Yarrowia lipolytica: one gene and its partner. The protein of the gene in region 2 purifies or fractionates together with the protein of the main gene of each other region. This does not show direct contact. Links are inferred from orthologs where the notes say so. Each region holds a gene or a part of one and is shown on either strand. Other genes may lie near its edges.

Region 1 (5,424 bases), on a different chromosome or scaffold from region 2:
GACGCTTTTCAACAGGTGCGTCAGTTCAACTCCGCGGTGTGGCTCTGTCGAGCACCAGTAGTCAATGGATACATTGACGAGGCGAGCCACGAGTGCGTAAACCTGCTCAAGGACGGTAAATGCGCCGCCGTGGCAATATCGATTCACAACTCGGCTTCCAAACACGTTGCTACGATACCAATCAAGTTCAACATTCCTGTTGTACCGGAGTCTGACCAAACAGTGCCAGTGACCGACGCTCCCACACTGATCGAGGACCTCCAACTCGAATTCAACGCGTTCTTCACACGTCTGGCTAACTACGGGCCAAATTTCAACCCTTCCAAGTTGGAACATACGTTCAAGATCCAATGTGAGCTGGAAGGACGCCATACTCTGGAGGGCTGGATATCATCAGAGGCTCAAAGTAGCAAACAAGTCCCAGGATTGGAAGATGTCGTGGTCAGAAAGATCGAAACAGGACCCATAGAGGTTGTTTCTTGGTTGGAATATGTGTAACTGGGCTACTGGTGATATAATCGGCCATTTCACCGATGATAGTCGACCACTTCACCGATGATGATCCTTACAACAGTCGGTCACAAGGGGACTCGTCATATACATTATGCGTCCATATTGCGATCTAATATTTTTATTCGTACACCCTCAGTCCATTCCTACAAGTACTTGTTCTATGCTCTATTATATTCAACATGCGTTATGTTATGCTTCTACTATAGGTCCGGTGCTGTACATGAGCAATGATGGTTACTCCAGCATTACTCCAACCCCAACATGGTCTTGGTATTCTCGTAGACCAAATAACTTATACTGACGGCAGGAGCCACCTTGGCAAGGTTGGGAGCCAGACCTCTAAACAGACCCCGGTAACCGTCCTTGGTCACCGCCTTGTGGTATGCATCCATGATGCCAGTGTACGTCTGAGGATGAGCAGCAGTTCCCTGGGCCTGGAGACGGGTTCGCAGCAGGTTGATGGGGTACACAACCGTGGCTCCGACGGAACCGGATAATGCGCCCATGGTCAGAACGGCCATGTTACCAATCTTGACGTCAGAGTTCTCGCAGCCCAGTCGCTTTGCCTCTCGGGTAATGTATCCTCGCTTCATGACCTCAAATGTTCCTAGATCAAGCGCGGCATAAGGGAAAATGCCTCCCAGACCAGCCCACAGACCCCTGTAGTAGGTGGCCAGACCTCCGTTTCTCCACATCTGCTTCATTGTGTGCCACAGAAGCGCATTGCCCTGAAGAGCGCCGGTGGGGGGCTCGCACTGGATTCGGAACTTGAGCGTATCGATGGGGTAGACCACAAACTGCGACACGACACCTCCGATACCTCCGGCCAGAAAAGTTGATGCACGGGACAAGTCAGCAGTGTCCTCCACTCCCTCCAGCTGGCACAGAAACTTTTTGGCGGTCTCGAACGAGCCAAACTTCATGGCCGACTCGGGAATCACCTTGAACACGTTGAGACCGTTACCAATGAAGAACGACCGGATTCCTCCCTCGGCCCAAATGTTCTTGATGGCATTGATCAGCACGTGGTGTCGGGCCATGAACCCCGACGGGGGCTTTGCCTTGGATGCGTTCTTGGCAATGCTCTCATAGACGGCCTCCGAGGCTCCTGAAGCAGCGGCTGTGGTTGCGGGAGTGATAGGATCGGCAATCAGGTAGACCTTGAGCCGATCCAGAGGAGCGGTGGCTGTTCGGGAGATGGCTCCGGCAAGACCGCCAGCCAGAAAGTACCCCAGACCTTGTAATACGTCTCTGTGAAAAATCACGTCTCCTTCGGAGCTGAGATCCAGCTCCTCTACAAAAAATTTGTAGGCGGCCTTGAGGGTAGAGCCGGCCTCATTTGGGACCAGCAGCAGGAAGTCGCGCCACTCGTCGAAACAAATGTATCCGTCCTTGTCTCGATCGAGGGCCTTGAAGAAGTCGTCTATCGTGTCGCTGTCCATGTCTCCCAGTCCCACAGCTGCCATTCCGTCGGCCAGCTCCTCTCTATCCAGCTTACCGTCTCCCTTGTCGTCGATGATGTGGAACAGGTAGACCAGGTTCTGTTCCGTGAGCTCCAGGTACGACTGGAACTCGGACAGGTCCACGAGACCGTCCTCATTTGTGTCCATAAGATTCACCAGGTTGCCCACCAGCGAGTCTGCGTTTCGCAGCGTGTGCGACTCGGGCACAGATCCACCGAGCGAGCCACTGAAGGCTGCCACAAAGTCCTCCTTGGACAGTTGGCCCTTGCCCTCTCGATCCAGTTTGCGGAACATGCGTTCATAGCGTGCGCTCCGTTGTTCCGGGGTTTCTCCGGTCGAAAGCGCCAGCTGCTGTTGTTTTTCCGCCTTGAGAAGCTGTGCCTGGGCCTGCTCGGCGCTCTTGTGTGTGTGTTCGGCGGCTTTTGTCGGCTCCGTCATTGTGTGGTGTCTGTAGAATGTAGGTGTGTTTTTTTTTTGTGAGTGGTTGGTTCCGATTCTGCCCGAAAAATTCACGTGTTCCTAGGTCACGTGGGCTCTATGCGTGTAAAGCGGGGGATGTGGTATTCGCCTTGTTCGCCTCGGTCTCGTGCCTCTTGCTTCCTGGTCGCTGGTAGCGTTGCTTCTTGAGGCCTGGTGGAGTATTAGTGTAGGTGGTGATGCAAAGAAAATTCAAAAAAAGAAGTCAAATGCAAACCATGTTATGTAAGTGGTTGGTGGGGTGAAAGGGGCCCAAAGGGGAGCAAATATACAATTAAAAACATGAAAATCATATCTTGACCCTGTATCCCTTCGAATAGATCACGTGACATGTCGCCAAACCGTCCCTATCATCGCGTTGTATGGAACATCAACTCCCCCCCTCATCGACAGACACACCCTATACAGAATAGACACTGTATGATTGGGTTGCGAATAGAAGGGACCTTCCAATGAATGACTACCAGTACATCTACGTACGAGTAGACATGGGGCCTGCCAAAGGTGGGTCACATGACCTCGAGTTGCGCGATTGGAGCAATCGATAAATTTGAGAGAAGTCGGCTCTATACCTCCACTCTTGCTACATCCCGCGCACCCCACAGTAGAGTCTGACTGGCATGTTTGCTCGGTACACATGATTTTAACCTCTTCAATATATATACTCGGGCTAGCGTCGGAGTCTAACGTCTGGGGTTTTGAGGTGTGTTTCTGAGTCTGACAAGGCAGCTGGTAAGGATTTTTGTGTTTGCTGGATCGGGTGTTGGTGGTCATAGGGCAGTTATTGTGCTCTATCAGGTCAATTTCACCCTTGGTGGTGCTCTGTTCCCCCTCAGTGGGCAATGTGTTCACGCATCTTGACCCTACATTCACCGCTTTCTCCTGCCACCTTTTTCTCCACATCGAAGTCCACCGCCAAATGCACGTCATGCTTATTTGGTTCGGAATTGATTTCCTTTTTGAGAGGCCTGCAAATGGTCTCGATGGAGTATCTTAGCGAGATGAGACGCCGGCTCAGATAGATACCCGCCGACACTGCGCAATTTCGCTCTTCACAGAGAGAGCTGCCGTTAGCAGTAGTTGTTGGTTGTATCTCACTAGCAAGAACGTGATTGTTGATGCGTAGGCCTCTTTCGAAATAGAGATCGTACAGTAGCTACTTTGTAGCCAACAGACAACAGAGATAGACAGATAGCTTATCTGGCGTGTTGACAGGTCACGTGGCAAAAGGCAGTCCCGGTCACGTGCTCTTATTTCACACGCAGGGTGTATTTTATTGATTTTGATAGCCGTCTGCTGTCATTCCGCAATCACATGATGCGCCAACGCTTTTCTGTAGTCCAGTAATCGCTTGGTCCTGGATGGTGTTCATAAATGCACTATGGTGAGCTTATTTCTGCGGTTGATGACTCGGGCCATCCTGTGTGTCTTGTGGTTGTGTGTTCGAAGCCGAGCGGGGTTCCTTTGTGGTGTATTTGTGGGGTTTGATGGTTTGATTCTAGAGCTTTTGAGGGAGCTCCATGTCAATTGACTTGGAAACGAGTACAGGTGCTCAAATACGACTTTCTCTGGTACACATGCCTTCATTACTCCAATTTTGGACAATATCGGACCTAGAACCTGATTGGGGAAAGATACAAGAGATTTGAATATATCCCAGTGAATCTCATGTCACGAGCTATCCGCTGGTATAATCACATCTGGAATAATGCGTCATCTACCCCCATTTCAAGTCATCGGATATCACCTCTAACTTGCCCTACCATTCATCCTCCCAAACTCTGATAATGCATACAGCACAGCACATCACCAAATCCCACTCACCTGCAAATAACTCACGAGCAGCACACACCACACATCACACACCATGTCGCAGATTGATTTCCGAAGAATTGACGTCGACCAGTACGACCCAGACTCGTTCATCTCCAAGGAGGATCTCACTCCTCCCTGCAAGCCCGTCTCTGCCGCTGAGCAGCAACAGGTGGCCACGGAAATCCGAGGAGCCATTTCTCGAGGAGAGGCCAAGGCTGCCCTTCCCATTGCGCTGGACTTTGCTCCTTACGGTGGTGATGACAAGGTAAAGGTGAGTATGGAGCGGTGGAAACGATTGCTCTTGGCAGCAAGTGAAACCCCCATCAGCTCGTGATCAACCGACATCTGGGGACACAATCAGTTGTCTTTTAAATGTAACAACCGCCAGACCCCACGTACTAACCCAGGACGCCCACCTCAAGTCTGTAATTGAGGTTCTGAGCGCAACCAAATCGGCCGAGATCCCATCCGTGGTCAAGGCTCTCAACAAGGAACAGCAGGATGTGCTCATCAAGTACCTGTACAAGGCCATGGGCTCGCCACAGGGCCAGTCCCAAGGAGTCGGCGCCATCCTACTTGCCTGGTACGAGAAGACCGTGGACATCACCGGACAGGGAGCCGTCGTTCGATACATGTCTGATCGACGAACTGTTTAAGCGAGTTTAAGCGACTACAAGCCCCTCGAACAGCGGATGGATGTGGGTAAATATTATGAGGTTCTCTCGCAATTGTAAACTACAAGCGTTGCAGATCAATCATATAACGGTAGCAGTGCTAATGATGTAAATGAATGTAAACTATCATCTTTGTTTGGACAAAATCAAGTGTAGACTGCAAGTCAGTGTTCTTGTGTAGAGCCTATCGAAGAGCTGCTTCAGTCTATGTCGTCCATTGGCCAGTACCAACGGTGAATAATGTGTGAGTTCACTTGTCATAGACACAGTGGATCTGCCAACTATCAATATTGTTAATGTATGGACCTTCACGTTCCCTCCACGACATGGCATCGTCTAAGATGATGCCCCTTGGGTTGTCATTGTCTTCTTACATATGATCATCCAATTGACTAGTAAAAACTGTAGGTGGGTATGAGATCAACTGTTAGGACCACTTTCCATCTACCACTTGAATGATATCATGATTATTTATGTAATTA
Region 2 (10,497 bases):
ACGTCGTGAGCTGTGTATGTGATGGTTTTCGGGATGCGGTGATTCTGTAAATAATGGGATGTAGAGGAGGTTCCAGTGAGGGACTTACTGGAAGCAGAGTCGTAAAAAGGTGCTATTATTGAGTAGTTGCACAGTTGAAGTCGCTTATCCTGTGACAATGTCATGTTCCGGATTATTCTCCCGAACACTTGCTATCTGGGATCATGAACGTGGTTATCCTGGTCAGGACGGGAAAATGGCCTGCTCATCTACAAAGTCATCGAGCCTGGTCATATTGATTTAAAATACACGTAACAATCAAACTCTTCAGAGTGGTTACCGTACCAGTACCCACGCCAATCTATCTCGATAATGCCTTCCATACACCTTCACTACAGTCAGTTGTTATTCATATCATATTCATTACAATGGTACATGGAGACATACCGATGCATAGCTAGTTCCGACCGTTAGATGAAGAGAAGTCAATCAGCAGCACGCTACGTCAAGTTACTGGCCACCTAGTTGGGATGCTTGAAGGTTCTTCCACTGGCGGTCTTCTTCTCCTTGACCACATTCTCCTGCTTTGCTCGGTTCAGCACCTTGAGGAACTCGCTCACTCGGAATCGCATTCGCGAGTGCATATAGGCCTTGGAACACTTGATATGGTAGTGGAAGTAGTCTCGGAAGATTTGGATGTGCGAGATACAGTTCTCTCGTCGAGAGGCCACAAGATGTCGGGGGAAAAGCACAAAGGTGACGTATCCCATGTTGTCGGCGTTAGAAGAGGGCTTGACAACGTCTCTGATCTCCAGCGGCGGCTCCTTTTGCGTGTACAGCACCTGGGGGGCGTTTTGGATGGCTCTTCGTCGAGCGTCAACGAATTCCTGCAGGAACACCTTTCCAAAGATTCGGTCAGTCTCGTCCTTGAAGATGGTGGAGAAGATGACGGTGACTCGGTCGTAGCTCGGTCGCACGTAGATGGACTCCTCGTCTCGGTAGTGGATCGCCATGACCTCGTTATCGGACTTTTGGGGGGCGTACAGGTCCTTGCCCTCGGCAGCAGCCTCCTCGGCCAGCTGGTCGAACTTGTCAAAGGCCTTTTCGAATGGAGCAGCAAACGTGTTTCTCTTGAGCAGTGCAATCTTGTTGACAAGCTCGTCTCGCTGCTCGGGGTCCGAGGGGATGGAGCCGTCTGTGAGGTTGAGCAGCAGCGAAACGTCGTATCCAGGCTCGGGCTCGGTCAGGTAGGGGCCATACTCCCGCTCCAGAATCTTCTTGGCGCCGCACTTGACCAGATCCTGGAAACACTTGATGTACATGGACACCATGATGACCGTCTTGTCCTTGGGGTCCGGGTTGGAGATGTGGAAGGTGACATTGTCGAAGTCCGACACCACCTGATCGATGCCCAATGGCGGGGTTTCGGGGTCCAGACGCTCGCTGAGCACCGATTGCAGCAGCAGGTTTTGGTACTGGAGCATAAGCATGTTGGCGGGTCTTGTGGAGTGCTGTGTGGGAGTGCTGGGTCTCGCAGTGGGTGTATAGTCAACGTGGAGATGTGTGCTGTACCACTGCGTTAATATCGTTGGTTAGTCAGAACTCTAATGGGAAGCTGGGGACGAACCGCGCGAAAACTGGTGGCACCAAGAGCAGATTATATACGGAGAAAATGACAATTATATTCCTCGAGCTTGTGATTGATCACGTGTCACCCAAAATCTTCCCCCAGTGTTATTATTTGCCGCAGTTGCAGACTCGCTAGATGACCTTCACACCACTGTTTATGCACTCACTCGGAGATAAGCCCTCTGGGTTGCGGATGTAGGAGTTGATACTTGTGCGAGTACTGTGCAAGTACGAGTAATTGTAGCCGGAGTAGTCAATTACAGCGGTGAAGGTAATTGGTGACATATGCTGGAGACGCCGATGGATAGATGGGGTCCCAATTGGACACGGAGGTGAAACCCCGACCTTGATAATCCATTGTTAGGAACAGTTTACTTGGGAGTATGCTTGACATTTTACTTGAACTCTATCACGAGTGACACGGGAACATGTATAATGGGATGTCTCACATCACTGATATTCCCCCTATATTGAAGTATTCCACTCTGTCAAAGTATTCCACCCTATATCGAAGTCTTTCACGGCTGGAGCACCTTTACGATGCTTCACTACAGTATGACCCGTGCTGTTCTTCACAGTCTCTAGCCAGACCTTCGTACACTGTACTCGCACTGAACGCGAACAAGTCTCTATCCATTCAGTACAGTACCTCCCAGTTCATCTGTCTCAGAGACTAACCATCTAAAGTGTTACGTTCCTCTTAGCTCTGATTCTAATCAGATCATGGTTCTGAGCTTGGACTCGGAGGACTACGAACATGATCCCAGACGTTTTAACCTGAAAACACGGACATAGAATGCCCAATTGGGGGACCAGATTCAATTGTTTCACTCCGTCATTGCTCTGGTTTCACAATATCACTCCGGTTTGCAGTACATACTAGTGCAGTATGTAGCAAGTACAGTTCACAGTTCGTACAAGACCACTTACAGACACCTCCAATTGCACCATGGATCCGATTTAAATGTAGTTTTTTTGCCACTGGCTCTGCAAGTTCATTCAATAGAACAATTTTTATTCATTTGACTCAATATCATGACAATAACCACTTTTTTTATTATTCTAATGATGCATTACAGCATGTTATTACCATACCAAAATTCAACGTAAAGATGCAACTTCGACACCAAAATTATTAACTTAATATCGGTTCTACTCGAGTAAAAAGCTACTAGGGGATACTTTTGGTCTTTGAGAATAAATATCCGATGTTATTTACTTTGTACAATGTCGATAAGGGCGTCAAAATCAAAGAAAAATTCAAAATCACTTTTTTAGTCTCTTGACCGTATTTTTTCACGTGATTTTAAGATTTTCGGCCGTGTGGTCTAGTAGCTATGATTCTCGCTTTGGGTGTGAGAGGTCCAGGGTTCAAATCCCTGCTCGGCCCCTTTTTTAGATGCCCTCGAAAATCAGTCCTAATTGTTTTTTTTTTTTTATTTTTTTATCTGTCATCCCCTCCACCTTGCTTTTACGCCTTGCAACAATTTATCCAGTCCCTTAAATCACGTGTACATACTGTACTTGTCTGTTTCAACACCCTGTCTGGCAGGACATGAGATGTTGGACGGACTCTCCTGTGGGGCTCTACTTGTAGGTTTAGCAGTCAGTTATAGTCGATCTAAGGGCAGATTCTGGGAGCAATACGGGGCAGTGGAACCTATTTAGTCGACCGGATGGTGGGATTCGAAAGCTTTTATCGAGCTTTGAACGGGCAGTAGAATGGCATCTGTTGCACTAATGGCGAACGGCGCAACGCTCGGAAGGTCAAGAACTTGTAGTTTCCAAGTACGAATACCATAAGCAACCGACCATGCACCTCACCGTCCCCTCTTCATTCAACAACAGATGGCCAGTTCAAAGTCGATTAATGTTCAAAACCCCCATCTGTATGTTCCATCTGTTGCAGATGTGTGGGGTAGGATTGAAGTTAGTCGCCGACAGGGTTCTCGTTAAGGCGAGGGGAATAGTCGATAAAAGAGGTATTGAGAGCAAAAGAGGAAGAAAAACTAGACAAGTGATCATACAGATCCCTTATCAAAGCCGATCTGAACGGGTTTCCCCCTTCCTTTCTCCTACTGTAACGCTTCTTGGGTGGTACAGGAGAACCTCTCGTGAGACAAAGAAGGTGGGGGGCACTGCAGACGGAAGTCCGGAAAATGCAGACCCCGACAACAGAGTGAGGGGAGCAAATGCCAAGACTGGTTATCTGGATGTAATTCCCATTGTCCGACAGGTTTCGGCCGAAGTTACGTTGACACAAGTTCTAATTCAACCTGTAGGCATTCGTAGGTACACCTCCCACCGCCGTACACACCTGACGCGGCTAGATTGTTTATTTGCAACTGTAACTATGTAGTAGCAAGGATACAATTAGCATTGGGTGGGTCCTTTTGATTGTGGAGACAGTTTCGAACAGTCCTGTCCCGTTGGTTCGCTGTATTGAGGTCACAATTGCGTGGTTCTGCGAGTTTACGTCTAGAGTAAGCAAAGATTGTCCAACAATCAACTTATATCCCAATAAAACCTCACCGACACCCCTCCTACCCCACAGTACCATATCATTCCCCACAATCCAACTTAATGTGGACTTCTGCTGAGTCTTCTGAGTTTGCTGAGCTCCTTGTACTCGCCTTGTACTGGTTTCCTATATAGCCATGTTGGGGGTGTGTGTAGAGCAGTAAAAATGAACGAATCAACCTTCCCAAAGACCTCAATTGAACATCTCGAGGACACCAAACACTCCATTGAACACCTGGAAGATGACAAGCCGTCAGTTGAGCATCTGGAAGAGACCAAGACAGACGATCTTTATGTCCAACACAGCGTCACTTCTGGACAAGTGTCAGACGTCTCCATTTCAAAGAAGAAAGAGGGCCATCTGAAATTACACAGAAGTATAGCCGTTGGTTGCCAATTCCAAGTTTTTCTTGCTTCTCATATTGTTTCAAGGGACGTGATTGGAGTGACTGTCACGGGAGGAATTGAGCCTTTTCTGAAACTCACCCCCTCTGAATATGAATGGTCGCAGGCAGCACTATACTTCACCTACGCTGTCTTTGTAATTCCTATGGCTTTGCTGTTTGCTAAATCGAACCCGCGCGTGTTTGCTGGAGTCCAAATGTTCATCTGGGGTCTCTGTTGCACACTGTTGGGCATCTGTGTCAATTACGGAGGTCTTACAGCGGACAGAGTGATTATGGGGGCCGTCATGAGTGTTGCGCTACCTGTAATTCTTCAGGTTACATACGAGTCTCATGGAAGATTCGAGGGACAGTTTGTCATTGCCTGCTCCTGGGCAGTATCTTGGTTCATGGTACCGCTGTTTGCCCTCATCGCCATTGCACTTGGTCTGATTACAGACGGAAAGCCCGGTTGGGCGTGGATGTTTTTCATCACCGGAATCTGTGGCTGTCTTCAGGCTCCTCTGGTGTGGAGATTGCTGCCAGACTACTTCTACCACCCCAGATGGATCAGAAAACATGGTGAAGACGGATACCAGCTGTTCAAGAAAATCACCGAAAAACACTATGCTGGAGGAAACCCGATCGAGCCCATCGAGACAGTCATTCAGGGCCTTGGAATGGCTCTCAAAGACCCCATTGTCTGGCTCACCGGTGCCATGGGTCTCTTTACTTACAATGGTATCTTTTCGTGCTATGGAGAGCTCATGACCGTGACTCTGCACGTGCTCAAATACTCACCAGCTCTAGGTCAATGCATCGTTTGGCCCATTCTGGTGTGGAGTTGCTTCTACTGTCTAGTTCAAAACTGGTTCTCCACTAAGTACAAGACCAACTACCCGTTCCTGCTGGCGAACTACCTGTTTGCTATCATTGGATGGGCTCTCGTTCTGTGCACGCCCAGCCACAAGAACTTTTGGATCAAATATGGAGGAGCGTGGTTCATTATCCCCAACATGGTCGCTGCCATGCCTACTCTCGCCTGCTGGCTGGGGAGCAACGTCCAAGGAAGAAACAGAAGACTCATGAGCTTTGCCGTTTTCACCTTCATCACTAACTGGTATGGAGTCATTGTTCTGCGAACATGGGTCGCCACCGCCGCTCCTCTGTTTGTGAAAGCCGCCTGGGTCAATATGGCGTTTATGATTGCCGGCGTTGTATTCACCGCCGCCCTGGTGGTGGTGCTTAAGCTGAAGACGAGTCACGGGGCCTTCGTGTATTTGCTGTAGGTGATGAGATTAGTTGTAATTGATGTGATTGTTGTGCGAGGAATGAGCCGTGAAACTTGACGAAACAAGTAGACCAGTATACTGTCAGAAGCTGAAGAATGGTGAGTGTATCACTATCTCTATCTCCGAGCCAACACCACCTAGATATTGGACACCCGCTGAACAGACTGGCCTGTTGCACGTTTGACCAAAATGAAGACTACGAGAACCTGTCTCCCAAGGAGCGAATGAAGCTCAATCCCGATAATGACTATAAGGAGCCTGAATACACCAAGAAGTGCCGTTAATGATGAAGACGAGCATCCTGACAAGGAGTCAATATCTGTTCAGGACGATAACAAAGTCCCTGTGGCTCTGTGTGCCAGACTACCACGAAGTCTCTGAGGTCTGTATGCCGGGTGAATCCTGACCGCGCTGATAAACCCACCCTGTTGAACACGGATAAGGAGAGAAAAGTAAGATCGAGCGTCCTTCCGAGCACCAGACAAGTTCGAAGACTTTACGATGGTCAACTTGATGCAGTGTTCAGGACAAAGTGTCATCCCACAAGTGGTCTCAGAGACTGCAGAGTGGTTATCGGACGTCTTCCCAGTAAGTCACAAGGGAAACTTGTACATAGATTAACGACCTCCACTTGACTGGATAGGTTGCACATGACTGGATAGGGCTTGTTCCGACTTCACAACACCACAGGACTCTTTGGAGGAGTAGGACTGAGCCCACATCAGGTCAACATCAGGTCATCATCTGGCCAGAAAAAATCCCCCTGCTCTTGTGGATTTATCACCACAAACGGGAACAAGGTCTCTCCGATCAGTAGTAAGTCGCCAATCCATTTGCGAGTCACTGACATATTTGATATAAATTCACTTGATATTTTTTTGAAAAATTATATATATTAAGGTTTCTGATTGATAAGATAAAAGACGGGGGTCTGTGGGGGTCAGTATCATAACCACTCCACCATCGCTGCCTGGTTTTGAAATCGCTGTTAAGGTGCTTTTACGCACAAGCTCGTATCGCTCAGCCACATGCCATCAGTACTTGATATATGCAGTCAGACGTCACAAACTGCAGATCTGTACATGTGGACTGTATCTTGGGTTCGAACTGGTGATAGCGATTCTTACGGTACTGTACTAGTATTGCATTCAGAAAGGTGTATTTGAGAAAAAACTGGCTTGGAAGTGACTCCTACAGAAGGTGGAAATCTCGTCGGTGCACGGAAAGTAGATTCCTCGGCGACAGTTAAGTAGAATGATGTTCTACTTGCTCTCAAGCGATCAATCTACTTACGACAATGCCGATAGTGATAAACTCAAGAGCAACTTATCTGAACCCGGCTACGGTCTTCTATCCGACTCTGTCTCACACGTATCGATCGATGGAGTTGAGTGTTGACCCGCAGCTCAGTGCTTCCACTGCACATCTGTCTCTGGAGTCGCGATCTCAATGAATCCATTACTGAAGCCTCTCGGCAGTCTGGATATTCTATTGAACGACACCTGATGCAATCATGCCGTGGTACTTGTTGTGTAGAACCTACCGCTCGCCCTGATCGTCCGAGTGTTAGTTGAGCGTTGGTCGAATGAGCGTTTGTTTGACTGGGTGCTAGTAGACCGAATGTTAGTCGACCGAGTGTTAGTCGACCGAGTGTTAACCCTGACTAACGCTTGTTAGCCCTTGCACTGTAGCAATTGACGGTTCCAGCTGATCTACGAAAATGCCATCTATCATACACAGTTAGCATTTATTCTCATATAGTCGTTAATAAGTCCCGACGCGCGGACGTCTGCTCTAAAGGTGCGTCTCTCCCATGTCGTGTCGCCACGTCTATCTATCGTCCGGAAAAGTGGACCGCGATCGGAACCACAATCACCACAATCAGAATGATGACTCCAATGACCAGACAGACCTTCATCTTGAAGTCCTTGAGCCACATGGCCTTTCGCACCCGGTTGGCGCCTCGTCGGAAGCCCTGGGCCGACACCGCCAGGTTGTCTGTCTTATCTTGCAGCGAGTCCAGTCGTTCTCCTCTCTCCGCCACCTTGTTGATGTTCTCTCGCATGATGCCCACGGTATCGTCGATTTGCGCCTGGATGGCGGCCGTTTTGTGGTTGCCCGTATGGTGCGTCTGCGCATGGCTCTCGCCGGCGTACGGGTCGTACGGCATGGAGGACGACATTGTTGTTGGTGTAGCTAGCGGCAAATCGTATACCTGGTGGTGCGGTTCAAACACATGGTTGGTGGGGTCGCGGTTAGGGTAGATGGTGAGAACCTTGACCCATGTGTTTGGTTATTTTGGCCCGGAGGTATTTTTAGACCGAGCGGAGCGCGTTGATACGAGTTGGGGAGCGAGCTATTTTGGGCCCTTTTTTCGTTCGTTTTTGTTTACAGAAAATCCGCTTGTTTTTGGCCCGTCAATTGGACAACAGGGTCCGTCTGAGTGCGCCACGCGTGGCTGGGTAGAGTTTTGGAAGAAAAATAAAAAATAAAAATAAAAAAAAGAAAATATAAAAAAATTCATAGAACTAAAATCTGGAAAAATAAAAAAATTGGTGAGAACAAAACAGCACAGTGCAGTAAGGTAAGTAGAGAAAGGCGTTATTGTTGGAAAAAGGAAACCTTTAGCTGGTTATTTACTTAATTGTTGGGGAGTTACTGGGTACGTACAGTATGTACAGTACAGTACGTATGTGTACTGGTGTGTAATATAATGACAACCAGGTGGCGGAATTGATCCACTGATCGGGGCTTTTTGAGAAGCCCATGATTCTATGGTGAAAATATTCTGTGTTTTTCTGTTGTACAATTGCAGGCACCGTCTTCTCGTGCTCATATCTGAAAACTTCAAAGAACCGTCTTGGCACATAAATGACAATTATTCACCCAATTCGACTCACTCTGAGCATTTTATGACTGTAAAAATGTCCACGATATGTATTTTGACGGGAATGTTACCTTTTTCGATCTCCTGATATACTCATATTCTCTTGGGTGTCTCCGAAGACGGACAACCGGCTCACGGAGTCAATCTTAAGTAATTACCAACTATAATTATAACAAATTGTAGTGGAATACGTAACAACAACAGAGCCAGACTAGAGGGATCCAGGAGATTTTGAGGAGTTGCAACATCTAATGTTTACATCAGAAAAAGGTACTATTAGTACAAGTACACTACATTATTGTCCCTCTTGGCGAGTATCACTATCTAGAGTCACTCTTTCCAGCATAACACTACTCCGCGGAGAGTATTTGACACCATTGTCTGACCTGAGGAGATTATAAAAGAGGAAATGCTCCGGTAAATGTCCAGGCCCAAAAAATCGTTGCAAAGGACGCCTGGAACATATCTCTCAGTGCCCAGAACATCCCTAAAATGAACGTTGGAACTTGCTCGTCCGCAGATCATCTCAATTCCGTAGAGGTCATGAGGTCTTAGGGACCAAATCGCCTCCCCAGATCCACTCATCTCTCTCTTTTTCCCATTCTTTGGTTCTGGCTCTCGTGACGTCATCAGTGCACAAGAAAGTTGGTGTCTGGTGAATGAAGGAGGACTAACTGTCAGTATTGTACATTACTGTTGGTGATGCAAGAGGTTGCGAATATGGAGAATAAGGACAAGGATCTTGCTACCACAGAGATGATATGACAACATCAGTGCTTGTATTTACTGTTTTTTGGCCGGACTCGTCGAAGAGCCGAGAAAACTCGATTACTTTTCTCCCATACTTCTCTCCCATACCGATTACGTCTCCCCAACCAACACTAATACGCCATGTCTGGCAAATCCCGGAATAACTATTCGTACTGGTAGCTTTCTCCATTCCGTTCCATCTCATTTCATTTCACTTGCCGGTCTCTCTTTCTGTCCAACCTAATCCAATCAGGAATGTCGGGTTCGTCCGCTCGTTCATATATGTATGTATTCGACACGTGTGGCTTGACTGCGGCTCCCGTGCTTTCTGCCGTGCCATCTCGCATCGTCTACACGACGCAAAAGTCGCGGAATCGGTGCGACTTCGACCGGTGGGCGTTTGTTGCAACTTTTTACGATTTCAACTGCCTATAATATCGCCCGGATTCAGTCTCAACGGTCGTCAAGTCGCCATGACCTCCCCCCGCTACCATTGGCGAATCCAATCAAGCTTCGCGCCGTCCAAACTTGTCTTTCTGAAAAACAGTTTGAAACAGAAGCCTGTCTTATCTAGATAGCGACGCACGCAACCACGCAACCACCAGACGTGTGTCCCAGCCCGGGCCAAGACCCGATAACGCGCGATAAGCGGCTAAGTTTGCTTGTTCGAGTCTTGGCAGGCTTGGCAATGCCCCTCAGACGAGGTTTTCTCGACCACAATACCCTCCAACGCCCACTCCCTTCCTGCCCTTTTTGAACCCACTACACGCCCCGACCATGCCCCCCCCCCCCCCCCCAAAGCTAACATGGGCCTTTAGTGTTAGTGTTTGAGCGACTGTATATAAGTGGAATCGGAAATTTCGACGAGTAAATCACTCACCAGTCGTCGGCATAGTGTCGTCGCTTTTCCCTCCTGTCCTTATCGCCATCGCTCCCCTCACCATCTCCTTTTCCGCTGCTCCAAACCCACCATGAACGACCCAGAGGCTAAACCCCCCGACACCCTGGACAACCAGGTCCTGGCCGACATTGGATACAAGCCCGAACTGAAGCGCAA

Evidence for each region. The genes of interacting proteins can lie anywhere in the genome.
Region 1: the proteins of YALI1_A03422g (region 2) and YALI1_E13727g purify together in Saccharomyces cerevisiae (affinity purification with mass spectrometry; 5 studies listed by BioGRID, with this or other methods). This does not show direct contact. The link is inferred for Yarrowia lipolytica from reciprocal best matches to the Saccharomyces cerevisiae genes ARC35 and ARC15.

Annotation. Positions count from the first base shown.
Region 1 is NC_090774.1:1,368,410-1,373,833, forward strand, and holds YALI1_E13727g (uncharacterized protein), read left to right. Parts: upstream 1-4,320; coding exon 4,321-4,539; intron 4,540-4,675; coding exon 4,676-4,924; downstream 4,925-5,424. Other genes in the region: YALI1_E13683g (uncharacterized protein), read left to right, coding at 1-498; YALI1_E13708g (uncharacterized protein), read right to left, coding at 759-2,414; YALI1_E13718g (uncharacterized protein), read right to left, coding at 2,775-3,383. UniProt on the Saccharomyces cerevisiae protein: Functions as a component of the Arp2/3 complex which is involved in regulation of actin polymerization and together with an activating nucleation-promoting factor (NPF) mediates the formation of branched actin networks.
Region 2 is NC_090770.1:340,791-351,287, forward strand, and holds YALI1_A03422g (uncharacterized protein), read right to left. Parts: upstream 1,470-10,497; coding exon 501-1,469; downstream 1-500. Other genes in the region: YALI1_A03442g (uncharacterized protein), read left to right, coding at 3,422-3,967; YALI1_A03450g (uncharacterized protein), read left to right, coding at 4,295-5,800; YALI1_A03487g (uncharacterized protein), read right to left, coding at 7,638-7,985; YALI1_A03507g (uncharacterized protein), read left to right, coding at 9,914-9,970, 10,015-10,197; YALI1_A03512g (uncharacterized protein), read left to right, coding at 10,412-10,497.